Linked DNA regions of Ovis aries. The protein of the gene in region 1 interacts with the protein of each later gene in a pairwise test. Links are inferred from orthologs where the notes say so. Each region holds a gene or a part of one and is shown in the gene's direction. Other genes may lie near its edges. The genes, in order: UBXN11, EIF4E2 and TLE5.

Evidence for each region.
Region 2: the proteins of UBXN11 (region 1) and EIF4E2 interact in binary tests that used the Homo sapiens proteins (3 or more experiments, as listed by UniProt). The two-hybrid records come from large-scale screens. The link is inferred for Ovis aries from reciprocal best matches to the Homo sapiens genes UBXN11 and EIF4E2.
Region 3: the proteins of UBXN11 (region 1) and TLE5 interact in binary tests that used the Homo sapiens proteins (3 or more experiments, as listed by UniProt). The two-hybrid records come from large-scale screens. The link is inferred for Ovis aries from reciprocal best matches to the Homo sapiens genes UBXN11 and TLE5.

Annotation. Positions count from the first base shown.
Region 1 is NC_056055.1:240,545,568-240,556,012, forward strand, and holds part of UBXN11 (UBX domain-containing protein 11), read left to right. Parts: intron 1-1,061; 5' UTR 1,062-1,218; intron 1,219-2,298; 5' UTR 2,299-2,333; coding exon 2,334-2,404; intron 2,405-3,165; coding exon 3,166-3,194; exon of another isoform or gene 3,195-3,772; coding exon 3,773-3,871; intron 3,872-3,877; exon of another isoform or gene 3,878-4,847; coding exon of another isoform or gene 4,848-4,998; intron 4,999-5,217; exon of another isoform or gene 5,218-5,260; coding exon 5,261-5,361; intron 5,362-5,718; coding exon of another isoform or gene 5,719-5,780; coding exon 5,781-5,835; intron 5,836-6,335; coding exon 6,336-6,412; intron 6,413-8,708; coding exon 8,709-8,817; intron 8,818-10,445. UniProt on the Homo sapiens protein: May be involved in the reorganization of actin cytoskeleton mediated by RND1, RND2 and RND3. Promotes RHOA activation mediated by GNA12 and GNA13.
Region 2 is NC_056055.1:234,171,069-234,181,513, forward strand, and holds part of EIF4E2 (eukaryotic translation initiation factor 4E type 2), read left to right. Parts: intron 1-3,069; coding exon 3,070-3,174; intron 3,175-4,728; coding exon 4,729-4,881; intron 4,882-4,982; coding exon 4,983-5,119; intron 5,120-6,843; coding exon of another isoform or gene 6,844-6,916; exon of another isoform or gene 6,917-7,109; intron 7,110-10,445. UniProt on the Homo sapiens protein: Recognizes and binds the 7-methylguanosine-containing mRNA cap during an early step in the initiation. Acts as a repressor of translation initiation.
Region 3 is NC_056058.1:18,528,703-18,538,528, forward strand, and holds the end of TLE5 (TLE family member 5), read left to right. Parts: intron 1-337; coding exon 338-401; intron 402-1,744; coding exon 1,745-1,789; intron 1,790-2,414; coding exon 2,415-2,477; intron 2,478-3,699; coding exon 3,700-3,774; intron 3,775-3,856; coding exon 3,857-4,078; 3' UTR 4,079-4,951; downstream 4,952-9,826. UniProt on the Homo sapiens protein: Transcriptional corepressor. Acts as a dominant repressor towards other family members. Inhibits NF-kappa-B-regulated gene expression. May be required for the initiation and maintenance of the differentiated state.

The DNA of each region.
Region 1 (10,445 bases):
AATTTGATCTCTGGTTCCTCTGCCTTTTCTAAAACCAGCTTGAACAACTGGAAGTTCACGGTTCACAGTATTGCTGAAGCCTGGCTTGGAGAATTTTGAGCATTACTTTACTAGCATGTGAGATGAGTGCAATTGTGCGGTAGTTTGAGCATTCTTTGACTTTGCCTTTTTTGGGATTGGAATGAAAATTGACCTTTTCTAGCCCTGTGGCCACTGCTGACTTCCAAATTTGCTGGCTTATTGGAACTTTCACAGCATCATCTTTCAGGATTTGAAACAGCTCAACTGGAATTCCATCACCTCCACTAGGTTTGCTCATAGTGATTTGTCCTAAGGCCCAGTTGGCTTTGCATTCCTGGATGTCTGGCTCTAGGTGAGGGATCACATCATCATGGTTATTTGGGTCATGTAGATATTTTTTGTACAGTTCTTCTGTGTATTCATGCCACCTCTTCTTAATATCTTCTGCTTCTGTTAGGTCCATATCATTTCTGTCCTTTATTGTGCCCATCTTTGCCTGAAATGTTCCCTTGGTATCTCTAATTTTCTTGAAGAAATCTCTAGGCTTTCTTTCCCATTCTATTGTTTTCCTCTATTTCTTTGCACTGATCACTGAGGAAGGCTTTCTTATCTCTCCTTGCTGTTCTTTGGAACTCTGCATTCAGATGGGTATATCTTTCTTTTTCTCCTTTTCCTTTAGCTTCTCGTCTTTTCTCAGCTATTTGTAAGACCTGCTCAGACAACCATTTTGCCTTTTTGCATTTCTTTTTCTTGGGGATGGTCTTGACCATTGCGTCCTGTACAGTGTCACAAACCTCCATCCATAGTTTTTCAGGAACTCTGTCTATCATATCTAATCCCTTGAATCTGTTTGTCACTTCCACTGAATAATCATAAGGATTTGATTTAGGTCATACCTGAATGGTCTAGTGGTTTTCCCTAGTTTCTTCAACTTAAGTCTGAATTTTGCAGTAAGGAGTTTATGATCTGTGCCACGGTCAGCTCCCAGCAAGGAAGTCTGGAATTTTGAATTTTTTTTTTTTTTTTCTGTGGATGAGAAGGAGCCATTGGGAGCATTTAGCAGGGAAGCGACCTGTCAGCTTTGTGTGTAAGAAAATCCCTCTGGCAGTGTGTGGAGACTGGTGCAGGGAGCCACAGGGGCTATCACACTTGGCCACACAAACCGCAAGGATGCCCGCGCAAGATGGCAGGAACTAGGTAGGCTGGGGGCAGATTGGGGAGGCTGGATGCTGGGTGATGGGGGTGAGGAGACTCTGGGCCTGGTCTTTGGAGGGCACCTCTGAGTGAGGGCGGGACATGAATCCCAAATTCCAGAGTCAGGACCAAGGAAGCTGGCGCCTGGTGATGCAGGTCCCCTTCCCTGCTTCACGGGAAAATTCAGGGGCAGGGTGAAGGCCAGTGCCACACATTTCCAAAGTGGAACTAAGGAATGATTCAGGATCTGGTGGAGGGCGTCTGACTAAGATGTCTAGATATTGGACACTTAATTCACTGAATAGTGACCTTTAATTGCATCCCTGATGTTCATTCATCCTTCCTAAAGGAAGAGGAAAGGAAGGGAAACAAGCGTTTATGAGGGCCTTCTGTGTGCTGATGACATCAGCAGTCACAATTTACAGTTTTGAGTAATTCCTTTAGTGCGTGGCCCTGGGCGAGGTGATTTATGTGTGTTACGCCTGCCGGGCTGGTACTGTTACCATCCCCACTTTATGCTACAGGAAAGTGAGGTGCAGGCTGTACTGGCGGATGGTAGAGCCTGCGCAGAGCCTGGGCTCTCGACTCCCTGCCATGTGCAGTGTCCTGGTAGAACCCTGCCTTGGGGCTGCCCCCCTCTGGGTCTGAGACGTTGGAGGTGGGGAGGGACACCGGGCTTTGTGATGATCAACTTTGTGAGGACCAGGTCCTTGATAGATGGACAAAAGCCACTGGCCACCTGGGTGGTCTTGTGCCCGAGATGGAGGTCTGGGAAAGTCCTGGTCGAGTGGCCAGCCTCTGCCCTCATCCCACCCCATTGCCTATTTCTCAGGTACTGCTAGGCCAGAGGCCTCCAGGAGCAGAGCAGAGAGCTAGATATCCAGCGGAGCAGGTGGACATGAAGCATGGGATCCTGAGGCCAGGTTGCCTCCACAAACTTCTGCAGGGGCCGTGGGAAGACATGAGGGGCACCGCTCCCTGGACAGTGCCCTCTCCTCGGAAAAGCAGGCAGGGAAGGGCAGGTTTCAGGCCGCTTCCTGGTCCTCAGTGGCTGTCCCCAAGGGCTGATTTCTTTCTTCTCAGGGGATTCCTGACGGCTAGAATCTAGAAGTAGAAATATGAGCTCACCTTTGGCCTCCCTTGGCAAGACCCGGAGAGTGCCTCTACAGTCAGAACCTGTGAATCCTGGGTAAGGAGCCAGCCTCTTGGGGTCTTTGTGCCCATGCCCCTGCCTCCTCCCGGCCATCACATGAACTCAGAGATTGACTCCTAGCGTCTTGGGGAAGTAATAAGTGATGTATCTTTCCCTGGCCACCTCTTCCTTCTCGTCCTTTCTTCTGGGAGGCTGTCCATGCGTCTAAGCACAGCCTCCAGTGAGGTGTGGGCTGTGGGGTAGCTCGGCATCCTTGCGTTTATTTGTAGTGCATGAATTGGTTCTGCAGACACTGATGGCCCAGACGTTCTGGGCCCGCCGTGTTACATGCTGGGCTCTCCGTGGAGGGGATCCTAGCCATCTTTCTGTCGCTTTCACCTTTGCGAAGCATCTTTTTTTACCCCTTTCCTTGTTCTCCTGAACCCCACTTTGAGTCATCCGTGTCATGGCCAAGGGGGTCCAGAGAGGTTAAGTGGCAGGCCTGGGGTCCTGCAGCCATTTCAGAGCAGAGCTGGGGCTGGGCTCCTGGGCTTGGGGACTCTTGTGGTCCTCTCCCCAAGGCTCTGCCCTTCAGCTGTTGCCCGTCTGTCTCCGTCGGGAGGAGTCAGATACCCTGACGCCTGCGCCTTGGCTCACCCCCAGGCCAGGATGGGATTTGGGGGTGGATGTCCTCACGAGGCATCTTTTTTAGGCTTGGTGGGGGGTGGACCTGGTGCCAAAGCCCCCCCACCCCACCCCATGGCAGTCCAGGGGGTCCTAACTTGTCTGTCTTCCTTCTCCTTCCTGCCCGTTCCCAGGAGGCGGGGGCTAAAAATCTACGGAAATGGTAAGTGTAGGCTGTGGCCCACGGGCCCTCCTCACGCCCTTGCATTTGGGCGGATGGAGAGAAAGAGCATGGTGGACTGCCTTGTCAGTCAGGATGGCTGGCCTGTGATAGTGCTGCCCGTGGCTCTCGGGTTAGGAGACTCCGCACCCTGAACAGGGATGTCCTGACTAACGCTGGAATCCCTCTGCTCACTGTGGGGTGGGCCGTGAGGGCGCCAGACCCCTGCCCGCCTCCCCGCCCACGACAGTGACTTCCAGCCCGTTACAGCCTTTTCTCCTTGAAGCCCAGTCCGAATATGGTTGCCTTGCCTCCTGCAGGCTCAAACCTTTGCATCCCAACCGCGCTCTAGCCCCCACTCTGATGCAGGCTTTGGCCCCTTGGGGCCCCCCAGGAGCTGGGCTGGGAGAACAAGAAGAGGCCTGTTCTGGTTGGATCCTTGCTCTCCAGCACCCCAAGTTTTCTCTCCCCATACACGGGGGGCAGGGAGGAGGGTGAGGGACAGAGTACAGGCTGCTTCATCTTGGCCAGGGCCCAGGGCCTCAGCTGCAGAGCGGTGACCCCGGCATCCCTGTCTGCAGAAGATGAGGTGGACATGCTGAATGGCGCGCATGGCTCAGAAGAAAGGATCTCTGTCCCTTCCTGCTATGGTGGCATAGGTGCCCCTGTGGGCAGGCAAGGTGAGTGCAGACGCCCAAAGGGGTCTGAGTCCCTGGCAGCAGGAAAGACCCCAGTGAGCGAGGCCGCGAGAGGCATGGCCTCTCTTCCTGCCTGCTGTGTCAGAGGCAGCTGCTTCTGCTCCTGGCTGACTATGGGCACGTGCCTGCGCCCCAGACCTGTTCAGAGCTTGGCTTGGCATGCAGCCACACATGGGCCCAGCCCTTAGCTCAGGAGGTCTGTTCAAGCCCCAGGGAAGGCTGTGGCTGGCACCTCAGGCTCAGTAGTTGCAGCCCGTGGGCTTAGTTGTACTGTGACACGTGGGATCTTAGTTCCCTGACCAGGGATGGAACCCTGTATTGCATGGCAGATTCTTAACCATGGGGCCACCAGGGAAGTCCCTAATTTAAAACATTGTCAGCCAACAAAACAGTTGAAATAGTACAGCAGGCGCTCACACATCCTCCTTCTGTATTTGATAATAAGTGACATTTTGCCATGCTTGCTTTCTCTCCATATACACGTCTGGATGAACACAAGTGTATTTTTTTAGATGAACCATTTAGAAATCAATCACAGATATCGTGACAGTTCAGCTCTAAGTACTTCCCTGTGCATCTTCTAGGAGGAAGGGAATACATAACCACAAGGCTGTGATCACACCTCAGAATGTGAACAGCTCAGTAACTGTGACATCCCAGTGTTCCAAAATTTCTCCCAGAGCCTTTTTTTTTTTTTTTTACTGATTTGGGTTCTACCTGAGAGTCATGTCATACATCTGACTGTTGTACTTCTGCAGAGCAGAGTCCCTGCCTCTTTTAAACGATGCTTTTTGAAGAGTCCAGACCACCTGCCCTGCAGGATGGGCCCCATTGTGACTTGTCTCCATGCTGTTAACTTGCTCCTCTGTCCACTGTACTGCCTGTGAATTAGGGGTGAGATTAGACATGTGATTCAGCTGAGGGTGAACTTTTCGACACTGTTTGTAATGTGACGTGGATGTTGTACCACTTCTTTGTACGTCTTGAGTGCATTACTGAATCTCTGTGCCTCAGATTCCCGAAGCAGCTCATTTCCTCAGAAAAGCTGATACACGAAAAGTGTTTAGGACAATCCCCGTTGTCTAGGGGCTTCCCTGGTGGCTCCAAAGGTAAAGCATCTGCCTGCAATGCAGGAGACCCTGGTTTCATCCCTGGGTTGGGAAGCTCCCCTGGAGAAGGGCATGGTAACCCACTCCAGTATTCTTGCCTGGAGAATCCCACGGACAGAGGAGCCTGGCGGGCTATAGTACAGGTGGCAGCTGCTGTTAGCACGCCTCTTTCCATGTTTGGGGATCTCTCCCCGCTCCCCTGGACCCCCACCCCATCAGCCTCAGCTCTAGGCCGGGTTCAAGGACCTTGTCTGGTTGGCAGTCCCCGTGTGCAATGACTCGGAGTTGGTGGCCACCCTGACACGGAAACTGCGGGATCTGGAGCGGCAGGTGAAGGCCCAGACTGACGAGATACTGTCCAAGGTGGGGCCCCAGCGGGCAGAGGGCCAGGGTCTGGTCCCAGGGGTGGAAGGGCCCGGGCTGGGGAGGCCAGTGAGGCTACTCTTGCAGTAGGCCAGAGACGATGGGTTCTCGAACCATCTCCCTGACCAGACCTCCCACCTCGGGGGCCAGAGCACGAAGCCTCGAGGTCTTCACCTCTGAGCCAGGCCTTCGCCCTCAGTTTGGGTGGCAGCAGTGGCTGCTGAGTGCTGGGCACCTAGGGGTGCCCCACACCCTTCCCTCACCTCGGTGGAGTCACAAAAGGGCTCATCTGAGGTACAGAAGTGGTAGCTACACCCAGGGTGGGGCAGGGGCTTCAAGCGGGCTCTTCCCATCCAGAAGGGGCTCCCATGGGCTCTGGAAGCCACCAGGCCCGCTCCCCTCCCACCTCCTTGCTGCAGACTCGGAAGATACAGGCCCTGGAAGAGATGGTGGAGACCCTTGAGAAGCACCAGGGTAAGAGGCCCTCTCTGCTGGCTGGCCAGCTCACCCCTGCACCTCCCCTGGGGCTGGTGACCCCTGGGCATCAGGGCTCCAGAGCATCCGGCTGAGTCCTGTGTGTGTGTGTGTGGGGGGGGGGTCTGGACAATGGAGCCCAGAGAGGAGCAGTGACACCCAGGACGGTGCCCTCCTGTGAGGGACTGCATCCCCTGGGCACAGCCCTAGCCCACCCCTGAGTTCAGAAAAGCCTGGAGGAAATGCCGCCCCCAGGAGCCTTGCTCTGGGGCAGGGGGGTGGGGGGATGGAGGTTGGTGGCCTCCTGAGAGCCCGGGCGTCCCCTCTTCAAGGTCAGGGGAACGGGCCAAGAGGTGGTTCTCAGGGGAATCCCTTGAGTTTTCAGAGGGGCAGCTTCTCTAGGTAAGCCTCAGGCCAAAGCTCTGGTCAAAGCCAGAAGCAAGCAGCCTGGCAGCCTGGGTGCAGGGGCCGTGGAACCCCTCCCGTCTCCCCACCCCAAGGCAAGGTGAGCCTGCAGCGGCAGGAGGAGCTGGAGACGGTGTGCGCGAAGCTGCAGCAGCAGGTTGGGGAGATGGAGGTGAGGGAGGTGGCGTGCCCAGGGCTGTCTGCCCCCAGACCCAGGGTCAGAGCCTGCTCCTCCGGGGTCCCCTCCGCACACACCCCACACAGGGCCCCTCCCCGCTTCCTCACTTTCGTCTCAAACCACTCCCCTCTGGCCTCGGCCTCGGCGGGGGCCTGCCTCGGGCTCTGTGGCTTTGTCAAGTTCTTTCCCGCCTCAGGACCTTGGTCAATGCCGTTCCTTCCACCTGAAATGTTGTTTTTCCCACCTTCCCCTGGTGAGTTTTCACTCATCCTCTCAAAGTCTCAGGTTGAGGCAGGGGGCCCTTCCCTAGGGGACCCCTTGAACTCTGACCTGGGCAGGTTCTCCCTCCTAGGCTTTCTGAGAACCACACCTCTTCTCTGGGGGACCGCAGACACCATGAGGGAGGGAGGGAAGGGCCATTTTCTCCTGTTGGGTGCGGCACGGCCACGACCCGGCGCGGGGCCTGGCCGTGTGCGCGCGTTGTGTCGCTCACAGCCATTCCCTGCCTCTGGAGGTAGCATGGCACTCACCCGGTGTCAGCTGTCTTGCCCCCATTCATACAGCAAGGCTTGAACAGGAGGGACCCTAGGCTCCAAGGAGGGTCCTGGGCACACATGCTCCCTCAGCGCCGCCCCCACGCCCCAGCTCCCTCACCAGCCCTGTCAGATGCTCTTCCTGAGGTCTCCTCTCCACAGAGTTGCTCTCCAAAGCCCCAGCCTAATCCGAGCACAGATGCAAACTCCCAAGCCGCAGCTGCAGCCGAGGGCCCTTTGCACCCAGGCCTGTTCCTACCTGGGGCTGTGGGTGCGCACCTGCTCCCCGAGAAGCCTGCTGGGAGACCGCCCGCAGCCGTGCAGCTTCGCTGCGCCACCGCCACAGGGCTGAGGGCTGCCCACCCAGGGCAGAGGGCACTGGGGCTCCCACCTTCACGCTGTTCACGCATCCATTGCTCCCTTAATTTAGGAAACTCATCCAAAGTCTTTCCTATGTGCCCTGCCCTCGGGGCGCTGACAGTCTAGAGGGGACAGACATATATGCAAGTATGTAGGAAGAGCCACAAGTACAGAATACGCTGAAATAGTTCAAGGGGTGATGCAACAGAGACTAGCCGGGGTTTGGGCCACTCTGAGGGGTGACGTTGGGCGAGAGATACAGAGGATGAGGCGAGTTATCAGGGAAAAGAGGATCCAAGCCGAAGAGAGGAAAGCCTCCACCTCTTCCTGCCACGTCGACTTGGGCTTGTGGCTGGGAGCTGTGGGGAGTGAAAGGGAGGAGGGGGAGAGGCCACAGGGACCACGTCCTGGAGCTAGGCGCAGTGGGGAACAGGGTCCCAGAGTGTGGGAGACCATAGGCAGGTTTGAGGTGGAGGAGTGGGCCGGGGGAGGTAGGTGGACGTGCAGTTTGGGCGATCCAGGAGGAAGAGGGTGTGGCTTGGCCCAGGGGAGAGGGAGCAGAGCGGATGGAGGACCCAAGCCTGCTTTGACACTGGTGCCACAGGCCTTGGGGGTCCTGGGGGTTGGGCACGGAGAGGATCAGGTGATGGAGGAAGCCAGCACCACTGACCGAGACCAGGAGGCTGAGAGGGAATGACGTTTGGGAGTCATGACTGGGCCAGTTCATTTTGAGTCTGAGATGCCTGTGGGAGGTCTTTTAAATGGCTAGAAATCTGAAACTGAAAAGGAAGAACATGTCGCAAGAGATGAACACAGAAGCGTGCTCGTTGGGTTAGGCGCTGGGCAGGTGGCCATCTGCAAGGAGTTGCAGTGAGCCGTGGAGCCGGAGGCCCGGCGGGAGTGGGTGAAGGAAGGGCGTAGGGATGAGGAAGCGGCACCAGGAAGTATGGACGACTCAGAAGCCCTCCTGCGGCAAAGGATTGTGAGGCCAGCCCTGGAGAGGCCACACGGGGGTGGGCATACGTCTGAGCCTGCAGAGCGAGGCATTGCTGCCCCTCCTCCTGGTCGGGCCAGACCCACACGGCTCCCCGCAGCCACTGTGGCTGCCTTCAGCGAGTTCCTACTTGTGCCGGGGTCTGTGCTAAGGACATGACACGTCAGTCATCCTCACAAGCTTCATCTGACAACTCCCATTTTACAAGGAGAAGCCTCAGGCTCTAGGAGAAGGGGCCTCCCAAAGCCACAGAAGGCAGTGGCCCAGAGCCCTGGCCCCATCCCCCCACGGCCCCATCGGCCGAGGCCTGAAGTGGGGGGCTGCACGAATGCCACCTGTTCCCTGGGAAGGGGCTGAGCTGACAGCGAGCGCCCCCTGACACCTCCGGCTTCTCTCCTCTCAGCGGTTCCTCGGTGACTACGGCCTGCAGTGGGTGGGCGAGCCCACGGACCAGGAGGATTCGGAGGATGGCGAGAGGGACTGGATGACGGCCAAGAAGTTCTGGAAGCCAGGTAGAGTTGGGGTCCACCCTGGCCCCTCCTGCAAAGGAAACGCCAACAGCTCCAGATTGCCCGCAGCTGTCGGGACACCTGCTTATTCGCGCCCTGCCTCCCCTGCCTTGCTGCTGTCACGGGGGCAGGAGGGAGAGGCCCCAGCCTCCAACACTGACCACCTAACCCCGGACTCTGCTTGCTCAAGTTGCCAAAGGCTCCAAGGACCCAGAGATGCAAAATGTTAACAAGGCCTCCCTTGTCTCAGGCACCATAGTTTACAAAATGTCACCCATTCAAAAGCTGTGGCCCTTAGAAGCGATTCCCCCTCCTTTGGAAGCCACCCCTCAGTTCAAGGGCTCAGCCACCTCTTTAGACTGCCTCTCCAGCTTGATTTGTAGCAAACCATTGGAATCCACCCACTTCTGTGGAATGCCACCACTTTTTAACTCGACCGCTAATATCTAGAGGGATGCACTCCAGAGATTTGGGGCCATTGAGCTGGCTGGGTTCTGAAAGCTGGGTCCATTTTTCCATCATTGCCTGGAAGGTGGTTCTGCAGGCTGTGGAGTGGGTCACACTTCTTCTGGGTGTGACCAGGATGTGAGGTGGGTTCTCGTCTCCGCCCTCCCACCTAGCCCCGGTGTGATTTGGATACTCAAGTTCCATTCTCTGAGCCTCCAGTTCCTCATCAGTAGATGGGGCTGGGGTAGGGAACTGCTACCCACTCCAGCATTCTTGCCTGGGAAATCCCATGGACAGAGGAGCCTGGCGGGCTACATACAGTCCGTGGGGTTGCAAAGAGTCAGACGCGACTGAGCGCCTTTCGCTTTCGTTCTTCCCCGTGGAGTTAATTAGGAGCCAGTGAGTTGCATGTGGCATCTGGCACTGACCTTGTGGTTGTCAGTCCACAAATGGGAGCTCTCATTGTTTTCCGCCGTCAGAAGGCAGCGGCAGCCTCTTGGGAGCATGATCTTGGCCCTCGGGACCATCTGGAAGACAGCTGCCCTGTCTTAATTTCATAAGTTTACTGCTGGTTAAAAACCCAGGCTGAAAACCTGAGAGTCCCACCTTCTGCACTTTGGGCAGATCCCCCTAAGTCTCGGGGTACAACCCCTTCACCCTTTTTGCAAAAGTATCATTTCCCATTTTTACCACACTTAACTAACTTAAAGCATTTTTATAAATAGCCTTGACATGCGCCAGGAATGATTCCATTTTACAGATAAGAAAATGGAGAGACTTAAGTCTGAAGACTATTGAGGGAAAGGGCAAGACTTAAGGCTGAGAGCCCATTGGGAGGTGGTTACAGTCATCCAGGCTGGGAGATAATATGATGCCCAGCATACGAGTGGGGCTGGTGAGGATGGGCAGAGCAGAGAGATTTAGGAAGAGAATCCATGCTCTTGACAATTGAATGTACATCAGGGAGAGGGTGGGAGGAACCTGGGGTGACCCTGGGGAGCATGGCTGTGGGGAAGATGCCCAGTCCATTTGGGACATGGCAAAGCTGAGGGACTGTATGGTGCCCAGGCCATGCCAGGAGCTGAACCCTATGCAGAGTGCTGAGTGTCTCCAAGGACCTCTGCCCCGATGAGAGGTGAGACCTGGTAGGCAACTGCCAGAAGCTATAAGAATGTCCCTCCCTA
Region 2 (10,445 bases), about 6.4 Mb from region 1:
AAAAAACCTTGCCCTTAGGGAAATAAGACATGCCCAGGAATTTCTAATATAGGGAGGCAGTTTAGGAGGTGCATAAATAGCTAGAGTGCTCTTGCAGTTCAGAGTAAAGGGATTCATTTCAGCCTGGAGAAGCCTCTTTTGAAGGGAGATGGGTTTAAGATTGAATTCAGAAAATTTGAACAAGTGATAAGATGAAGGAATTCTTGGAAGAGAGAACAGTAGAATTAAAAAAACTATCCATGTCATCCTAACATTCCTGAATCCATTAAAATTTTGATAGCTTGCTAGACATTTCAGGTAAAATGACAGCCATTATGTTATGAACAACTGATTAAGCACTTAGGATCAGAGAAGAAACTGAACTCTGGGGAGTCAGTTTTCATTCAGGATTTTGTTCAGTTATTTTAGCATAGTTGTAACTATTTCTAGCGTTTTTCTTTCCCGCTTAAAGAAAGCATGTGTGAATGTTCCCAGCTTGTACAAGGAGAGCTTTTGTTTTCTTTGGACATATGTGCTAAGTTGAACAGTTTTATCATCAACATCATCTTGGGTTAATGCTGCTTTATACTCACCAATGCATGTAAGTCAAGGCATTGGGAAGTGTCCCACAATATTCCTCACAGAAAAGTAATTACATTTTGAAACTAATGATGCTAAAGTAGTATTTCCCACTAGTCCTCGATCCTAGTATTTGACAGCAAATGGCAACCCACTCCAGTACTCTTGCCTGGAGAAGCCCATGGAGGGAGGAGCCGGTAGGCTACTAGTCCATGGGGTCGCAAAGAGTCGGACATGACTGAGCGACTTCACTTTCACTTCAGAAGTTCTTGAGGTGACTAAGAAAACTATATCTTGAAATGAAAAAAGCGTTGGACATTCTGCTGCTTGACTGTGAGCTGGGGCAAGTTCTGAAACCGTTTTCTCAATTATAAAGCAAAGAAAGTAGTTGAGATGATTTCTAAAGTCTTTTCTGCATTCCATGTTCTGAATCTAAACATTTATTTTTTGGTTCCAGTTGAAAGTTTTAAAAATGAAAGTTGCCTTAAGAGAATGAAAAAAAAAGGTTTAATACTATTTCTCAACCTGCCTATTATTTCATCTCTGTTGTGATTTGGGTTTAGAATTCTGGCTATAAGATTGTAGAGAATGGCTCTCAGATTGGTGGAGACCAAACTGTTAATAAAGCAGTGCCCCACTGGAGGATTGGGGGTGATTGGTATGCTCTGTCCCCACCACTTCTGTCAAGTCCTTATTCACAATGAGCCACAGTTTCTAGAAGGTGAGCTTCATTTCTTTGCACTGTGTTGAATTGAAGTGAAGTGAAGTCGCTCAGTCATGTCCAACTGTTTGCAACCCCATGAGCTGTAGATTACCAGGCTCCTCTGTCCATGGGATTTTCCAGGGGATCTTCCCAACCCAGGGATTGAACCTGGGTCCCCCGCATTGTAGACAGACGCTTCACCGTCTGAGCCACCAGAGAGGTCCTCCTTTGCACTGTGTTAGAGTGGGGAAAAGATTATTGCTCGTTGTATGCATAGGACCATTCACTGACCCAGATCCCTGGGTACCATTAAGCATGGCACTGGCTGAGGTGAAATGCTGAGGTGAAGTCCTGCAGATGGCTTCGTTCCTAATTTCCTTGTAACGTGAGATGTTGCCCATGTTTCTGTGCTCTAGAGGATTGAGAGGCACCGCCACTTCACACAGTCTGGGGTTTCTCCTCAGTTGCTATCCAGATCTGGGGGTGTGACCTGAATCTGTCTGCATGGTACCTGTTTTTACCTGCACATTATGGAATCTTGCTTCATGTTTATTTAGAGCCTCTTCAGCAGTTTCTTGGCAAATACCAGCTGTTTGCTTCAGACTGTTTCACATTTTTTCTTTACTTGTAAAGTGTGCACTTGACTTTCCGGTACTTTGTAGGTGTTCTCTGTGAATTGCAGAGGAATAGGAAAGTAATCAAGGGCTTCCCAATCGGGAAGCGCCACTAGGCGCTAGTGGTAAAGAACCCGCCTGCCAATGCAGGAGATGTCAGAGATGTGAATTTGATGCCTGGGGTGGGAAGATTGCCTAGAGGAAGGCATGGCAATCACGCTAGTATTCTTGTCCTGGACAATCCCATGGACAGAAGAACCTGGTGGGCTATAGTCTATAACATCCCAGAGAATTGACCAGAGAATTAACTTCAGTGAGTTAGCATGAATGCATGCTTAAAATACAGGGAAGTAATTTCTTCTTATCAAATCACTAGTGAGAAAAACAAATAGTGCGATAAATATAAATAAGCATACATTTTATAGAGAATATGTATGATTTTCTAACAGGACTGTGAAGGAGGAGCAAAGAGAAATTTTATAGCTAAGAAGAGAGACTTAAACCCTGAGTGAGGAAGCCTGCTTGGTTTTTGGACCATCTGGGCCTTAGCAAGGGCACCATGGTATGGAGTAGCCCTGCGGTTGATTCTGTCACTTAATGCTCAGTAACTGTTTCTATAGAAATAAAATGTACTTCAGTGTAGCTAATGCTGTATTTTGACAGTAAACCTCTGATCAAGAAGTGCCCAAACTTGCAGTTATAAATAAGTCATGGGCATGTACTGTAGAGCACAATGACTAGTTAATTCACAATGTTAATAATACGGTTTTTTTTTTTTTTTAAGTGATTTGGTTCAAGCTGAGGTTGTGTGGCCCTGAATATACCTCAAACCTAAGTGGTTTTTATCGTGTAAAACAAAGTCCTCCTATAGCATGTGGTGATTCTCCTGCGGCTTCCACAGGAGGATGCGTATTGACATTTTACCAACTAAGGCTCCTGGCTGAGGCTGGCATTTCTCACCTAAAGAGTTTATTCTTGTGTTGACAGTATGACACTATTCTTTTATCAAAATAGATAGTCTTCTTCCCTTCAGCATGTTGTTCTTCCCCCACAATCCCCAGAATGAACATCTGTCCTCCAAAAAGTAAAGCCTCTAGCAGAGTGTCTTCCGTGGTTATGCACTTCTCTTAAATCTCCCATTCGCTCAAAGAAAAAGAAAGTGCCTCTCTTGACTCTGCTGTGCTCTCTCTGCAGGTGGAGCAGTTCTGGAGGTTTTACAGCCACATGGTGCGTCCCGGGGACCTGACAGGCCATAGCGACTTCCATCTCTTCAAAGAAGGAATTAAACCCATGTGGGAGGTGAGAACTGAGAGCCTTAGACTGTTTTTCTGAGGAAGTTTTCTGTTTTTTGGGGTTTTTTGTTTGGTTTGGGGGTTAGTGCCAGGTGTTGGCTAAAGTCTTCTTTGAAAGCTGCGTAGCAGTTTGGTATATCTTTGGAAATGGGAACTCTAGGAAAAAGCCCCGATTCCATTGTTTGTGTGGATGGTTTTCAAAGATTGTTTTCTCACTAACATGGTGCTATAGCAACATTGAAGGATTTTTTTTTTTTTGGATTATTCTTCCCATAGACTGGTTTTGTGTGTGTGTAATATATTACCGTAGGATACATATGGTTAATGTGTGTAAAAATAAGCTTAGGGGCAGTCACCAGAGACCCAGAGCTGAGCTCTGTGATCTCTTTGCTGTAGTCCGTCTTCTCTGTTCTGATGCCAGAGCATTCTTCCAGAAGACAGACATGATCACACACACACGTGCGGTGCTGTGCTTAGTCATTAGTCACTCCATCCTGTCTGACTCTTTGCGACCCCATGGACTGTAGCCCACCGGGATCCTCTGTCCACAGGGATTCTCCAGGCAAGAATACTGGAGTGGGTAGCCATTCCTTCCTTCAGGGGATCTTCTTGACCCAGGGATCGAACCCAGGTCTCTTGCATTGCAGGCTGATTCTTTACCATCTAAGTCACCAGGGAACCCCCGCCCCTGCCACACACAAACACACCTTAATGAAAAATCTTATGCAGTTTTCTGTTGCACACATGATCTTACACCTAATGACCTTTCAGCACTTGTCACCTGTCCTCTCCAGATCCGCCCTTCAGTGTAGCTAGATCTTCCTCTTTGGGTCTCTGCCTCACAGTCAGTGTTTGCACATAGCCGTGTCCTTCCCAGTGCCCACAGAGCCCTTCACCTGGCTAGCTCCTGTGTCCCTTACAACCCAGCTGAAATGTTTTCCTTTTTCTGGTTGTTTCTGACTGTCTTGTTCTTCATAAACTTCCTGTATGTATCTCTGTTACAGGAGTACTTGTCAGACTATACTACTGTAATTAGTTTTCTTGTCTGTCTGCTTCACTAGACTGGATCTGAGTAGAGATTGTGACTTCATGTCTGTATTTGGGGACATGGTGACACTTGATAAACTTTTAGCAAATGAAGTAAGGAATGATCTGTGTTTGAAATCTGACATTATTTCGTTTTAATGTAGTTTTCAAAAAAGAGGGTTGGTTGGTTGGTTGGTTTTGGCCACACTGTGTGGCTTGCGGGATCTTCGTTCCCCGACCAGGGATTGAACCCAGACCCTGGCACTGAAAGTGCTGAGCCTTAACCACTAGACCGCCAGGGAGTTCCCAAAAGAGGATTAGTTTAAAGGGTCTGTTTGGCTGTTTTTCTTTAATGGCTGGTTGCAAGGATCCCCATCTTGTGTTTCTTTTTTCTTGTTTCTTCTGCCTGTAGTCCTATCACATTTTCCTATAGAGTTGAATAGTTGGAAAACAGCAAGACTTCTCAGTGATCGTGGATCCTTGGCCCTAATGCTACGAGACCATATGTTAACTTTTAATACATTTTTTTTTACAGGATGATGCAAATAAAAATGGCGGAAAGTGGATAATCCGACTGCGGAAGGGCTTGGCCTCCCGCTGCTGGGAGAATCTCATCTTGGCTATGCTGGGGGAGCAGTTCATGGTTGGGGAGGAGATCTGCGGGGCTGTGGTCTCTGTCCGCTTCCAGGTAAGCCGCCTCGCGGGCAGGGCTGCGTTCACGCGTGCTACCTCTGCTCTTCTCACTGCCTCACTTTCCTTTGATGAATGCTTCTGTCGTCCCTCCTGTAGGAGGACATTATTTCCATATGGAATAAGACTGCCAGCGATCAAGCCACCACGGCCCGCATACGGGATACGCTTCGGCGAGTGCTTAACCTACCTCCCAACACCATTATGGAATACAAAACCCACACCGACAGCATCAAGTATGTGTTGTGGGGGATTGAGGGGCGGGTGTGGGGTGTGTCCCTGAGTTCAGCAAAAGTAGGTCCTTAGTCGGGTCCAGAGGAATACGGTCTTCCAGGAGGCTGACTTAAAGAGAAGGGACAGACCAGTCTTCCCCCAGTGCTTCTGTCCACTCATAGCAGTTCTTGCTGGTGCGGTTCTCTGCCTGCCTGCACGCTGGGTGCTCTGGATGAGAGATCCCTTGTGCAGAGTCCTAGCTGAACCACCTGGGCTTGCTGTATTCACACAGGCTGTCTTGTCTTTCGTTCACTAACCACTGTCTTAAAATGAAAGACAAAGTAATCTTTTTCTTGCAGTTTCTAAAATAATTTCACTGAACAGTGAGGCCCTTCTCCCTGTCTGTCCCTCACTCCACTTTTGCATGTCTTTTTAACTTGTTAGCTTCAGTCTGCTCTCTTTGTCCTGGGAAACTGACTTCTTTACAGGAATGATGACTCCATTTCCTTGTGTGCAGAGCTGAAGTCGAAGTGGAAGCAGAACAGTGTGTGTGTGAGAGTAGACTCTAAGGGGAGCAGGATGCCAGAGGGGAAGTTAGCTCAGCAGTCTACCTGAGACTCAGGGGAGTGGAGCTGGACGTCCACAAGTGAGAATCACTGGCCAGGGTTGCTCCTTCAGTGACTGAAGATCATAAATAAACGCAGGGTGTCATAGACATGTTGTGAGGAGTGGCTATTAAGAGTTTTCTCACATGTGAAGGGAGAGCAAGCCAGCTAGGAGTCAGGACCTATAGGTGTAGTTCTGTCCTCTGACTCAGATACTAGTGCGTGCCTTTGAAGTACCTGCCACTCCGCTTCACCTATCCCATCGGAAAAGTGGGGGGTAAGAGTGCTTTACTGAGCAGGGTTGTTTGTGAGGCTTATTCAGTGTTTGTAATTAAAGGTCCTCAGATGGAGAATGCTCTCACAGGGTCAAGGATTATTGCTCTCATCATCATTAGTAATAACGTCATCACGCTATTATTAAACGCATTATAGTAATGAGCCCAATGATGGCGCTCAGCAGGCAGATCGTTTGGGAATCTTTTCCCATGCATTTACAGATCATGTTGTGGGTGGAACTGGCTCATACCAGCTAAGCTCCAGTTTTTAACTGGGAATGCTGCCATAGGAGGTGGTCTGTCTGAAATGGCTGGGTGTGGCTCATCACAGTCACCAGCAGTTATTAGCCATTACGACCCTGAGGACTTGCCTTGACAGCCCTGGGTCAGCACTGTTTTTCTCTTGGCAGATTTTTCTTATTCTTTGTTCTGAAATACAAGTAGTTTCTGCCCTCCAGCCAGACTCAGTCTAGGCTGGAGAGATCCACACCTGCTTTTCCTAGGACTCTTGTGTTTAGTATTCCCAAATGCCCCCCATTCCCCTACCCCACCCCAAAGCAACCTTTTCACCCGGATAGGAAAGGGAAAGAGATATTTTTCAACTCCCACCTCTCCACTGTTCTCCCTTTCAAATACCCCAAAGCAGCTCTTCCTGACTTCTGTAGCCATGTATACAGGTCCATAGAGTCTAGGCTAGCCTTGGGGCTTGGTGCCTTAGTCTGCTGCTTGCTGCTTTATCAGAGGTCTGCCTAGTCCTCCAGCCCTGCAGCCACAGGGGCCAGAAACCCCTCCTTGACACCTAGATGCCACTTTCCCCTCGCGGCTCCCTCTCTCTCCCAACATGCCAACCTTTTGCACTTCCACTAGAATGCCAGGCAGGCTGGGCTCCCAAAGGCTCCTTTTTCAAAACCTCTGGAAGCCGCGGTTGAATGTGCCATGACCCTCTCCCTCTCTGGATGGCACCGTCATTGAAGCCGGCGTCATCGGAGTCTCTTGTTCTGTTGGTGTGCTACCTGGAAGATCCTTCCGTCCCGGACAAGAGGAACTGGAAGAGCATTTTCTGTTTTAAGAACAGGCTGACACGCAGCAGCTACAACAACAGCTGAGATCACTTAATAAATGGTGCTAAACTAGCTTGTCTCATGCTCTTGCTCTTTACGGTGCATCAGAGAAGTGGCCTTTCAGACTGACTGTCACCATAGTAAGGAATGGCACAGACTGCTCCGTGGAGGGCCGTCCGGGGAATGCAGCCTCATTTCCATAAGCCCATGGTATCACATCACACGGTATTTTGTTCCATCTCCACTGAGGTCCAACACTGAGGTGACATCTCTCAGAAAGAGACCCCGGTTTTTTTGGTATTTAAGTTTCCACCAGTCATGCGGAGGACAGGAACAAAGTGATTTCTGATTTAGAATTCGGCTCAAAAGTCCATCAGGTTGGAAAGGGGGATCCTTGACCTTCGCTTGGCTGACTTCATTTGTCTTACTTCAAAGACATCTCTTGCTTGGAGGTAAAGCCTTGCTTCCATCTGTTTGCCGCTGTGTGTGTAGAGCTTCCTTGCTTTGTGTAAGTGGGCTTTCCTCACTGGCCAAAGCCTCCCAACCGCAAGCTCTCTGCCAGCCTTTCCCCTTCTGCTCTCCCCTTGGAGCCAGCTCATCTTCCTCTCTGAGCTCACCCTGCAGACACTTTGCAAAGTTCTAGCCCTTCCCTTTCCCCAGTCTCTGGGGTTGTCGTGCATCAGGACCTGGGGGTGGGGACGTGTCTTTGTCCTGTGTGACTTTGCCCCTTAGGACATCTGACCACAGCATGGCCCAGCCCCTCACGTGTTTTTGAGGCTCGGCATGTGTGTGCTGCAACTTGGCCTTCAGGCCCCTAACCTGCATGGAGAAATCTAGCAAAGCTTAATGTGAATTTAGGTTTTCTTTAGAGCTTCCACCCAAACCATAAATAAACCACATATGCCCACACTAGGCCAGGTGGCCTGATAGCATCTGTGAAGGTGGCTGTGGGCATAGCGTGGAGTTCTCCAAAGTGGCTGTGCTGCTCCAGTTTGGCAGCGACACCCTGAGCTGTGCCATCCTGACTGCCCATCTGTCTCCATGAGGCCTGGGATCCCACAGACCACACATCAGGACTAGCACACAGGCTGAGCATCCTGGAGGTGGCTCTGTCATTGCTGCTTTTTGTGATCACTTACCCCAGATTACTTAAAGTTCCTGAAAGATGGAGATGGTTGATGTGTGGAAATACATATTTTCTATGTTTTCAGTGTTTGTCAAAGAATGACGTTCTATGGCCCTTTCCCTCTTGCCTTCCGCTGTGATGTCCACATGTATTGATCTTAATTTCAGCTAATATAGCTGGTCCAGAGGTTGAGCCTGATGCCACCTACCAGTGTAAGAGTTGATTGGAAAGCATCGAACTGACCTTGACCCCTCTGAGCCTTGCCACACCTGAATGGAAGCCAGGACTGTTCTGCTTTGTCCTTCCCCTGTGGCTGTCCCACAGGCGTGGCTGTGTTTGAGCCAAGGAACAGCAACTGCTTGGACTTGAGAATTGAAGGGATGTGAGGAGGAAAGAGCCAACTCTTACTCTCTCCCACGTACTCTGGAGATGAGGGGTCCTGGAAATGGTGAGGAGAGTGTTCTAGGGGTACTCAGCTGTCTCAGGCAGGTGTCCCTCCCCCTTGCTGTGTTGCCGTCCAGTCTCCAAAGTCCTATTTCAAGTGTCTCGTTCCCCAGCCTGCCTTCATCACACTGCTTGTTGCCTGTTCCTGCTGCACTCCTTGCTAGCACCCCTTGCTGAGCTAAGAGGTGACCGCTGCCACTGCGCAAGGGGCATGGTGAGCCGCTTTGCTGCAGAGGGAACACTGCTTGCTGCCTCACACCCTTGTTTACTGCTAACAGTCAGTCCCTTAAGGGTGCACAGGCCCACTGAGAAGTGGGAAAATGGTTAAATCAAGTCTTAGGTGTGTGGCTGAGGTTTCAGAGATTTGGGTCCTTGCAGGTGGACAGCCTCATAACACAGCCAGACTTGCACCCCAGAATCATGGGACCACCAGGAGAAGAGTTGGGTCACAGGGCCGTATAAAACAGGAGTGTCTTTTGTGAGGAAATTCCTCTTTGGAATAGTCTGTTGAGTCCTTTTGTGCCTCTGGCCTGGGATGGGAGGGGGAAGACAGGGCCTGTTGCACTCGGTGGCCACAGTGTTGGGAAGACTGACCAGGCCCCTCTGCACAGACAGCTGAGGGTAGGTGACTTGTCTTTATTCATTTATTTTAGAGGAGAAATGGGTCAAATCATGGGGACTCCACCACATCTAGATTTCATTGTATTTAAATATTGAACTTGGTAGGCAGGGACCAACCATCCCTTCTCTAGCCACAGCTAAATCACAGCTGGGGGCGCTGCGTCACCCAGCATCATTGCTGGCCAGGCTTTGCTTTTGGGAAATGTCCCTCTACACTGATGTGCAAGGTAAAGCCCAGACCTGCAGGAGACCCAACTCATTTGTGAGTGTGAGAGCCAGCTGAGGGCAAGGCTGTGAAGTGAGGCTGGGCCAGAGTGGGGGCAAATGCAGAGTTAAGGGATGAGATTTCTGCCCTTAGAATTTGCTCTCTGGTAAGCCAGCTGGTAAAAAGTGATCTTGAAAGGACTCCTTGTTACCCTGTCATTTGAATCTGTTTAGAATTCCCTATAGGTTGTATTAGGATAATAGGGGGAGAAAAATGTTTTTAGGAAACTCAGTTTACATGACAGATATAACATTTAACTTGTTCTATGTTTACCTTTCAAAGAAACAAGTTTTAAAATTACATATATGCCTGGGATGCCAGGTGAAAAATAGCCAGAACATTCGCACCTAGTTTTAGGCAGTTGGTTTACTTAGTCAAGCATTGAGAACCAGTGATTGTACCAATGACTGTGAGCAGTGATTTTATCTCCACTGAATCCACCTGAGGAAATTTCTTTGCCCAGATTCTTCATGTTGAAGTTTTCCATGTAAAGAATATACTGCTGAAGAAAATAGGAGGGCAGTTTAATGCTAAACTGGATTAGAGGGGAACTCTGAAATCCCTATTTCTGTAAGTTCTTAACATAGAGAACTTCCGTTTGGACTAGTGTAGGCCTTTCTGGAAACTAAAGGATAAATGAGGTGAACCTTCAACACAGCCATGTAGTTTCTTGTTGATACCTGACTTGCTTAAATATAACTTAAACCTCACTCTTAGAGTGAGAAGGGGGTTTCCTGGGTCATTGCCTGGGTGTCAGATTTTGCTTTCTTTTTATCTTCATTTGGAGTGAAGAGTGAAATGACCTCCTGCCATCACTGATAGACTCTCAAAGTTCATCGTGTTACCATCTCTCCAGAAAGAGCTGTGAAACGTGTCTTTCCGTGGAAATTGAGTTTGTGAATTGACAAGACGCATGCTTACTGGATGTTCTAAACGTTTTTCTTCCATTCAG
Region 3 (9,826 bases), on another chromosome or scaffold:
TCACTCAACCTCTCTGAGCATCCATTGCATCATTTTTATGAAGGAGACTGACGTTAACAGCCCTGACCTCGTTGGATTTCATGATAGGAAAAAGTTTCTTTGAATCCCTGTCTGACCTACAGTCAGGATATTTGCTCTGACTTCTGTTTTTATTATTTTCATTGCTTTCTCCACCCCCACATCTTCAAGGTGGGTTTCATCATCCCCAGTTTCCAGCTAAGGCACCTTTGGGTCCCCTTCCCCCCTCTTCTCTCTGACCCCCACCAAAGTTTGGGGCTCCCTTGCACAATGAGGGGGACATCATCCCAGCCCTGGCCCTCCCCCTCTTCTTCTTCAGTCTGAAACTCGAATGTGACAAGCTGGCCAGCGAGAAGTCAGAAATGCAGCGTCATTACGTGATGGTAAGCCAGCCCGGGGGTCTGGTGGGCAGGGCCAGAGGACCCCAGGTCCCCCTCCAGCACTGGCAGCTGCTGTCTGAACCCTGGCCATCTCCTCTGGGATGTGCGAGAAGTCAGGGTCTGCTCTCCGCTCAGCCAGCCCCTGGCCGGGCTGAGTTAATCTTGTTGGCCTGGCTGCCGGCCCAGGCAGTGGCCGAGGTGCCAAGCCACCGGGTTGCGGCCTGGGCCTGCCAGGTCCCTGGCTGTCCTTGGCAGCGGAGGAGCCAGTGGCTGTGAAAGCCAGGAACTGGGGTTAGAGGGGGGTTGTTGATCCCTCCCCTCCCCACCCCCACTGTCTAAGCATCCCAGGCTTAACCCCTCCTAGTCCAAGCTTGGAGGAGGACTCCTGGAGGGCCCCCTTCCCCAGGCAGGAGGCTGACACTCTTTTGAGGTGGGTGGGTGGAAGGGAGGGAGGGGGTGACACTTCCTTCTTGGGCCTGACATTGGAGACCCTGCCCCTGCACACTGCTGGAATCACTTGCTTCGCTTCATATGCACCAGGTGGTGATTTCTGCATCAAAACCCCTGCCTAAGCCCAGCCCAGAGCCCACTTCCCCCAGGCCATGGGGGAGGCAGAGCTGGACAAGGAACCTCTGGATTCAGAGGGATGGGGCTGGGGCACTCCAGAAGGGTATGCTCCTGTTTGGAGAAAGACTGCATGGAGAAGGAGGCACTGCAGCTGGGGTCCTGATGAATGGATAGGAGCCAGCTGGGCAGAGAAGGGGAGACCACACAAACCTGGCTTTCTCCCCCTATCTTCCCTGGGGGGTGATGGGGAGTCATAGGAAGGTTTAGAGCAGGGGAGGTGCAGGGTCAGATGTGGGGCATGAGGAGGGGGGGCGCTGGCCCCAAAGGCAGACCCAACAGGATTTGTTTATCCTCGATTATTTATACCCAGGAAGACAAACTTCCCTGGAGTCCGGGGCCACCCGCAGACAAGACACATAAAGATAAAAGATTAGGAGCCTTGGAGTGTGTGTGTGCCTGTGTGTGTGTGCGTGTGTGTGTGCGTGCGTGCGTGCGTGTGTGTGTGTGTGTGTGTGTGTGTAGGGGTTGAGGTCATTATTCCAGAAATGGGGCATTCAGGGCCCCACTGGCGTCCCTAGCATCCTCACCAGGCACCTGGGCCCCAGCTCCAGGTGTGGGTGTCTCCCCGCTTCCGACTCCATCTCTCTCGCCTGCCCTCCCCTCCTCCTACCTCTCTCTTTCTCCCCCTCTTTGTCTCTCTCTGTCACTTCCCCTGTGTCTTTTGTCTCTGGAACCTCACATCCTTCACCCACCCCCATTTCTGTCTCCCCCCTACACAGTACTACGAGATGTCCTATGGCTTGAACATCGAGATGCACAAGCAGGTATGCCCCCTTCCCCCCTCCTCCGCCCCCCTGCCCCGCCCAGGCAGGTAGGAACCCGCCACCCCTTGGCTGAGAACCAAGACTGCCTTGGTATCCTGTTACCTCCGGAGCCCCCCCACTTCTGTTCTTTCTCAGGCCTCCCTGGGAGGTTGCTCTCCCTGAGGGGGAGGGCAGAGGCTTTCCCAGGACCTGCCACCCTCACTCCATTGTCTCTCTTTTGTGACAGCCCTGGGGGAGGGGGGTGATATGACCTGCCAACCCACCCTCCAAACCCTATCTCAGGTGTGTTAGAGAATTCTGATGCCAGCTGCCCCGACCTCTTCCTCCCTCCCTCTCACGGAATGCTCACTACCTGTGAGGCATCGGGCATCTTTCCAGGGCCACCCAGACCCCAAGCCACTGGGCCTGGATTTCGCTCTGTCCTGGGCTCTTAGCTACCCTCAGAGACTCAGCCCCCGGGGCCACTTTTGCTGCTGATCGGGTGCCCATGGGCCTGATGAGTCGATATGATCCTGGGACTTGCCGGCCTCCTCTTGGATTAGACAGAACCGCTGGGCTTTCCAGGGCTGGTCTGCACCTGCCCTGGCTGGCTGCTGCCCAGGGCTGAAGTGTCTGTCTGTTCCAGGCTGAAATCGTCAAGAGGCTAAATGGGATATGTGCCCAGGTCCTGCCCTACCTGTCCCAAGAGGTGAGCAGAGCCCCCGGGGGTCTGCTGGGAGGAGATAGACCCTGAACTTCCCTCAGCCCCACCCCTCTGTAGGCATCTGTGTGCCCCAGGGCACACGACTGCCTTCTCTGGACCTCCCAGCCATCAGCCAGTCTGTGCAGGAGAAACCCCAGGGGTGAAGGGAAGGACCTCACCCTGCTGTGGAATTCCCAGCCTGCGTGAGTCATTGCACCGTAAAAACGTCAGCTACATTGCCGAACACTGCACCAAGAATTTTGTTTCTGCCTTTCACCTTCCTGAGATTCGTCTGCCTGGTCCTGCTGGCCGCTGGGTGTACAGGAAGGCACTCTGCACACAGAGGCAGACATACAGACAGACACAGATGCAATAGACAAATGCACAGATGCAAAACATAGACACACAAGCACATGGACACGCAAAGGTCTATGCACCCAAGTCTTCCTCTTCTGTTTCCTGGGATTCTCGGTGTGAAGCCCACTGTACGCGCACACACACGTCTGGGTCACGTAAGACCCCTCTGCTCTCTGCCAGATTTACCGCTGATAATTCATCATTTCCTTTTTAAACTCTGCTGGTACCTTAGGGTCCCACAGGGGATGATGCCCAGGGACAATTCCAGGAGGACACCATGGAAGCCCCAGAGAAGGAGATTCTTAGGGCCCTGAAAATCTAGCTTTATGGTTTCCTTTCATAGCAGGGGCTCCCTGGTAGCCAAGGCACAAAAGGAGCTTGGCAGATTTTAGCATCTGATAGCCAAAGAGACAAATTTTCAGGGAAAGCTGGGGATTGCCCCGAACCTCGACTCGTACCCCAGCTGTGCCAGAATTCACTGGGCCTTCACGGCTGCGGAGGAAGAGGAGCTTGGGTTAGCAGACCTCAGATCTCTTCCATTAGCAGTCCTGGTCTGAGCTCTTAACAAGCTTTGACTTCTTTGCATGTGGCATTGGTCATAGTCCACGGTTTCCTAAGATTCTGGTACCAAGCCCTTTGGGCCTTCTGTGCATCTCTATGTATCCCATTTTCCAGATGAAGAGACTGAGGCTTTGTGAAAGGAATCACCTGGAGAGAGGGGAGTTTCCTGAGGGGAGAGATGGGAAATCGAGGAGAGGGAGGGCTCTAACAGTGCAGATGGGAGTGGGACTTCTGGGCTCTGTGCCACAAATCCCAACAAGACGGGGTGAATCATCTGTCACCTCTCCATCCCCCACCCCCCACTTTCCAGCACCAGCAGCAGGTCTTGGGAGCCATCGAGAGGGCTAAGCAGGTCACTGCTCCTGAGCTGAACTCCATCATCCGAGTACGTCTGGGGTCTTGTGGGGGGATGGGGGAGGGACAGGTGGGCTCAAGGGGGCTAATGCTCCCCTGTTTGTGTACTGCAGCAGCAGCTCCAAGCCCACCAGCTGTCTCAGCTGCAGGCTCTGGCCCTGCCCCTGACCCCCCTGCCTGTGGGGCTGCAGCCCCCTTCTCTGCCGGCGGTCAGCGCGGGCACCGGCCTCCTCTCTCTGTCAGCGCTGGGCTCCCAGGCCCACCTCTCCAAGGAAGACAAAAACGGGCATGACGGTGACACCCACCAGGAGGACGACGGCGAGAAGTCGGATTAGTGGGCGGCTGGGATGGGGAGGGTGGGGGGTGGGACAGAGGGGAGACAAACACTGAGAGAGAGGAAGGTTCAGCACGCGAGACACAGTGATAGCTTGGGATTGGCCAAACTCTGGTAGTATTTATGTTAGCTGCCTGCTGGGGCTGTCGCCCTGCTTCTGTGCCCTACCCTGGCTTGGCTCCTACCCCTAATTCCTGGCCTCCTCCTCCCCTGTAGACTGAATGGGTCAGTACCCACTCATACCACAGATGAGGCAAGCTGAGGCCTGGAGACATAGGGGAGGCCAGGTCCTAAGGGAGCAAAACCTCAAGAGGTCCAACACCCCCTGCATTTCCCTGATTCACACACATGTAACTGACAGTCTGCCCGCCAGGAGGGGGCCCCCACCCCAGCCTCCCATTCTGGCACTGCATGCAAACACAATGCTAGCTGCCCCTCCCCACCCTGGGCACCCCGCGTCTCCCCCTCCCACCCACTCACCCTCCATGAGTTCCTGATGCCCGCACCCACAAAAGAAAGAGGGGCCACCGACAGCAAGCTTAGCCCCAGGGCAACAGTGGGGCCAGCAACTCAGAACTCCCTTTCTCCCCTTCCCGAATAAAGATGAGGGTACTCAAGTTGTCTTGGTTTTTATTCCCCCCCCCTTTTCCAGTATACTAGCTTGTCTTTTAAGAAAAGGGATATTAAAAAAAGGAAAAAGACAAAAATGTTAAAAAAAAAAAAAAAAGCAACACCCACACCTGTGTCTGTATATAGCCTTTTAGACTGTCAGCTTTTGTTGTGTTCAGTCGTTTGATCTCTACGGAGAGAAGTGAAAATGCTGTATCGAGGGTGGGCTTAGCTGTGCCTTTCAAATAAAGACGTGAGAAGGTTGGTTGCTGTGTTTCTGCCTCTGTGTTGTGGGCTGCCCCGCGGTGACTCCCTTCCCAGGGGAGGAGGGGGGCCTCCTTCAAGCCTCAGGCCCCTCCTCTGTTACGGGACTGGATATGAACAGTCCTGAGTCCAGCTTGTAAATATAATTTAGCTCCTGAACGCAGTCCCTAGCCCAGAGATGGTCAGATGGAGGCTCGAGGTCACACAGTAAAGCCTAGGTGTTTGAGGTCTGGTCAGCTGTTTTGACAAGTAGGCAAAAGGACTCAGAAAAGCTAAGGGGTCACTGAGCATAAGTGGTGGGACTGGTTTCTGAGCCTCAGGCCAGATGGTTCCTAAGTGAAATTCTTTACCCTTAAGAGACAGATGTTAAGACCATGAGCAGTCACTGTGCGTGCATTACAGATGGCTTCTTCCAGATCAGAGAACTGATTCCTGGCTGGACCTCAACTCTCCAAGGACCACTTGGAGCCTGCCTTCACGCCCCTGCATCCAAGCTGGACCACCTGGGGAGGGGGAGCCAGGAGGAAAGGTGGTTCCCTAGGGCACCTGGCACTTCAGTCAAGAGAACATCAGTCTCCCCACCCAGGATATAGGGCTGAGGGCAAGGAGCGGGTTGGAGAGTGGGAGCTGTCATTTTGACTTTGCAGTATCTTCCATCTTGCAAGATCTTTGCCAGGGCTTCTTGGCATAGAACTCTCACTCTCAAGGGACTAGGAGCATGAGGAGACCAGGGAATTCTCAACTATCTGCCTGATCCAGTGGCTTTCCAGGTGGCCAAGGGCACAGGGAATGAGGCAAGGGGTAGTGATGGACAGCCAACTTCAGAGAAAATGTCTTCTGTCCCTCAAGAGAAAAAGAAGGTGTAGAGGGGACAGGGGGACCCTCCTTCTGCACCCCACTGCCTCCCCCACTACAGAGAAATCACATGCAAAAATCAATGTAATAAGACCACTCCCTGGTTAACATGTATCCTCATATGTTAATGCAGGTACTTCCCCAGTGATCCAGTGGTTAAGACTCTGTGTTCCCAATGCAGGGGGCCAGGGTTCAATCCTTGGTCGGGAAGCTAGATCCCACATGCTGCAACAACAATAGCAAAAACCCCCAAAACTCATCTCTGTGACTTGGGGAATATAAACTGTTAACATCTGCCTCCAAAAGACTGCTTGGCACCCAGCAATGCCCCTGGACTTCAATGTTAGATCCATGCAACAGGCATGCCACCAGAGTGTTCAGAGCAGCTGTAACAAGTCATTATTGCCCCAAACTGGAAACTACCAGCTGTCCATCAAAGGGCAGAAGGGTAATTTGTGATACCAGCTGCCTATGGAATACTATGCAGTCAGAAAAAGAACCAGAAACCACCTCACTCAACACCTGCAGCACACACACAGAACACTGAAAGAGCCAAGTACAAAAGAGAAGATGCTGTGTGATTCCATTTATATAGAGAACAACAGGTCCAAGTGACCTATATAGTTTCACATGTCATGGGGTTACCCAAGCAGACTTCTACCCATGATGGAAGCTTGGGGGCTGATTACGTGAGTGTATTCATTTTGTGATAAGTGATCAAATGATAATCTGGGCACTCTTCTGTGTGTTCTACTTCACAATTTTTATCTTTTTGCCATGTGGCAGGCAGGATCTAGTTCCCAGGCAGGGGGATCGAATCCCTGCATTAGGAGTATGGAGTCTTAACCACTGGACTGCCAGGTAAATCCCGGCAGGGGGGGTATCTTTTTTTTTTTTTTTCTCAAAATTTTAAAAAATGTTTCAAAGACTAGATTATCTTTGGCCTCTGTGGCCCTAGCAGAGACATTACTTTGCCGACTAAGGTCCGTCTAGTCAAGGCTATGTATGGTTTTTCCTGTGGTCATGTATGGATGTGAGAGTTGGACTGTGAAGAAGGCTGAGTGCCGAAGAATTGGTGCTTTTCAACTGTAGTGTTGGAGAAGACTCTTGCGAGTCCCTTGGACTGCAAGGAGATCCAACCAGTCCATTCTGAAGGAGATCAGCCCTGGGATTTCTTTGGAAGGAATGATTGCTAAAGCTGAAACTCCAGTACTTTGGCCACCTCATGGGAAGAGTTGACTCATTGGAAAAGACTCTGATGCTGGGAGGGATTGGGGGCAGGAGGAGAAGGGGACAACCGAGGATGAGATGGCTGGATGGCATCACGGACTCAATGGACGTGAGTCTGAGTGAACTGCGAGAGATGGTGATGGACAGGGAGGCCTGGTGTGCTGCGATTCATGGGGTCGCAAAGAATCGGACACGACTGAGCGACTGAACTGAACTCTGTGGCCCTAGGAATAAATTCTAGGACCAGGACACCCTGAGGATCTGCTACCCACCATTCTAATTATTCCTCCTCAGCAGGCTAGAGCCAGGTTGAAACATTTTGCCTTTCCTTGAATAGAGACCATTGCACATGCTGTTCTGGAACAGTGACTTCCCCCCCCCCTCCCTTGGGTTCTAATCCCCCCAAATCCCAAGAAATCATTTTTCTGACCTTTCTTCACAAAGCAAGTTTCCCTGGTACTATGAAAATTTCAACTGGGATGGGAACAACAGCTATTACTAATACATCTCATAATGGTTCTGGACACAGAGTCTCCAGCCTGGGCTTAAATCCTGACTCTTCCTCTCACAGCAAGGTGATTCGAGCAAGCAAGCAGCTTCACACTGCTCTGGGTCTTGGTTTTCCCTATCTGTGAAATGGGTATAATCACACCGTTGTCATGAAGATCCTATCATGGACCCCGGCATTCATTCATTCTTCCTTTAAAAAACAAAAACATACTGAGCTCCTACTCTGAGCCCTGGGGACAGCAGGGAAGGAAAAGGAAAGACTTAAGTCCCCACCCTTGTGGCCAGATAGACACATGCGTTGGGAAAATACAAAATGGGTCAGTGGGTGTATGGATAGAAACCGAGGCAGAAAGGAAAGTGAAGTCACTTGTCTGATCTGTTTCTGGGAAATTGTTCCGAGGATTAGCAGAAAGCCTGCAAGGGCTCAAGAGAAGTCAGCTGATATTATTAGTACTATTACTGATGTAGCTGGCAGATGAAGGGCGTGGCGGGGGCGGGGGGCTCTGCTCCAAAGAAAAAGGGGCCCGTAGGGCTGGGAACGGTAAAGCGAGGGCCCTGGAGTCTGCTGTGGGGCGCGTGACCAGAGGGTCTTGGGGCGGGAGAGTGGGAGCAATCGCAGCCGGGAAGCCGGGGCAGGCGGAAGTGCGGTCTTCAGGGCTCCCTCCCCGCCGCGGCCTCCCGCGCTTAACGACCACGCCGCCGGCGACCTCGGCTAATTGATCTGCTAATGGGCCCCGCGCCGCGGCCGCGCCTAATGAGGCGGGAGGAAGAGGAGGAGGGGGCGGTGGGGAGGGTGGAGGGGAGGAGGGGGAGAGGAGGGAGGAAGGAAGGGGGAGAGGAGGAGGGGGAGAGGGAGGATGAAGAGAAGGGGGGTAAGGGGAGAGAAGGGAGAGGCAGGAGGAAGGAGGGGGGTTAGGGAAAGGAGGGAGAAAGAAAGAAGGGGGGATGTGGGGGAGGGGAGGAAGGCGGGGAGCGAAGGAGCAATAGAAGAGGGGGAGGGAGGCAAGGGGGAGGGGCAGAGGGACCCCAGAGGGGGCTGCAGGGGCACAGGTCCTGGTGAACCCAACTGTTCTGACTAACCCACCCTCCTCCCAGACCCTAGGGCCTTCTGGGAGTCCCTCTTCTACCCTCTCCCCCTTTTTAAGGGTCTTTCCAGCAGCGAGGATCCCTGTGCTTCAGGGTATGCAGGTCCCTGACTCTCTCTAAGCCAAGATGTTCCTGTGCATACAATCATGTCCTCCCACAGGCCCCAGTGGCAAGAGTGTGACCCAGCACCCTCCTGCACCCCAGTCCTCCAGAGCCAGGCTCACCTCCTCCTCCTGATTTGGCCTCCCAGGCTGAGGAAGGGTCAAGGGCTAACAGATTTTCCAGCCAGCCGGGGAAAAAAAGCATCCTGTAAATGAGGATGTGACATTAAACATTCACATTCCAGGCTGGCCAGGTACCTCTGCTGCCTGAAATATTTATGTAGCTTTCCTCCTTCCAGAGTCTGGGAGTTTGCATCTTGAACTGAGATTAGACTTGGAGGAGAAACAAAAAGCACCTGCAGTGATGTGGAATCAGGGACCTTGGCATGACCACCCCACACGCTCACCCCATTGTACAGACAGGAAAACTGAGGCCTGAGGAAGGGCAAAAAGTGAAAGTGAAGTCGCTCAGTCATGTCTTACTCTTTGCAACCCCATGGACCCGTAGTCTATCAGGCTCCTCTGTCCATGGGATTTTCCAGGCAAGAGTGCTGGAGTGGATTGCCATTTCCTTCTCCAGGGGATCTTCCCGAGCCAGGAAACGAACCTGGGTCTCCTGCATTGCAGGCAGACGCTTTACCGTCTGAGCCACCAGAGAAGCCCCAAGGAAGGGCAAGATAAGTTGTCAAAAGTCACAAGACGAGACAGGGCCACAGCCAGTCTCCTGCCCTTTGCTGGCTGGTTTGCAGAGCTCTCGGCCCCACTAGGCAGGACCAGAAATAATCAGGAAAGCAATGCAGATCATAAGGATAACAGAAATCATAGATGGCTGCCATCCACTGAACACCTATTATGCTCTGACCTTGGCTCACGGCTTCAGCTGCAGTTCTCAAACAATTCTTGAACATGCCTGGTGAAGGAAGGACCATTTTACAGATAAAGAAACTGAGGCCGGAGGCGTCAAGTGACGCCCCTACTGAGGCGTCAAGTAGGGGCACACAGCAGAGAACCTGGATACTGAAAGACACACATCTTAGCCTGGACCCAGCGCAGGTGGGCAGAGCTCTGCCTCTTCCCCTTGCTCGGGGCCTTCA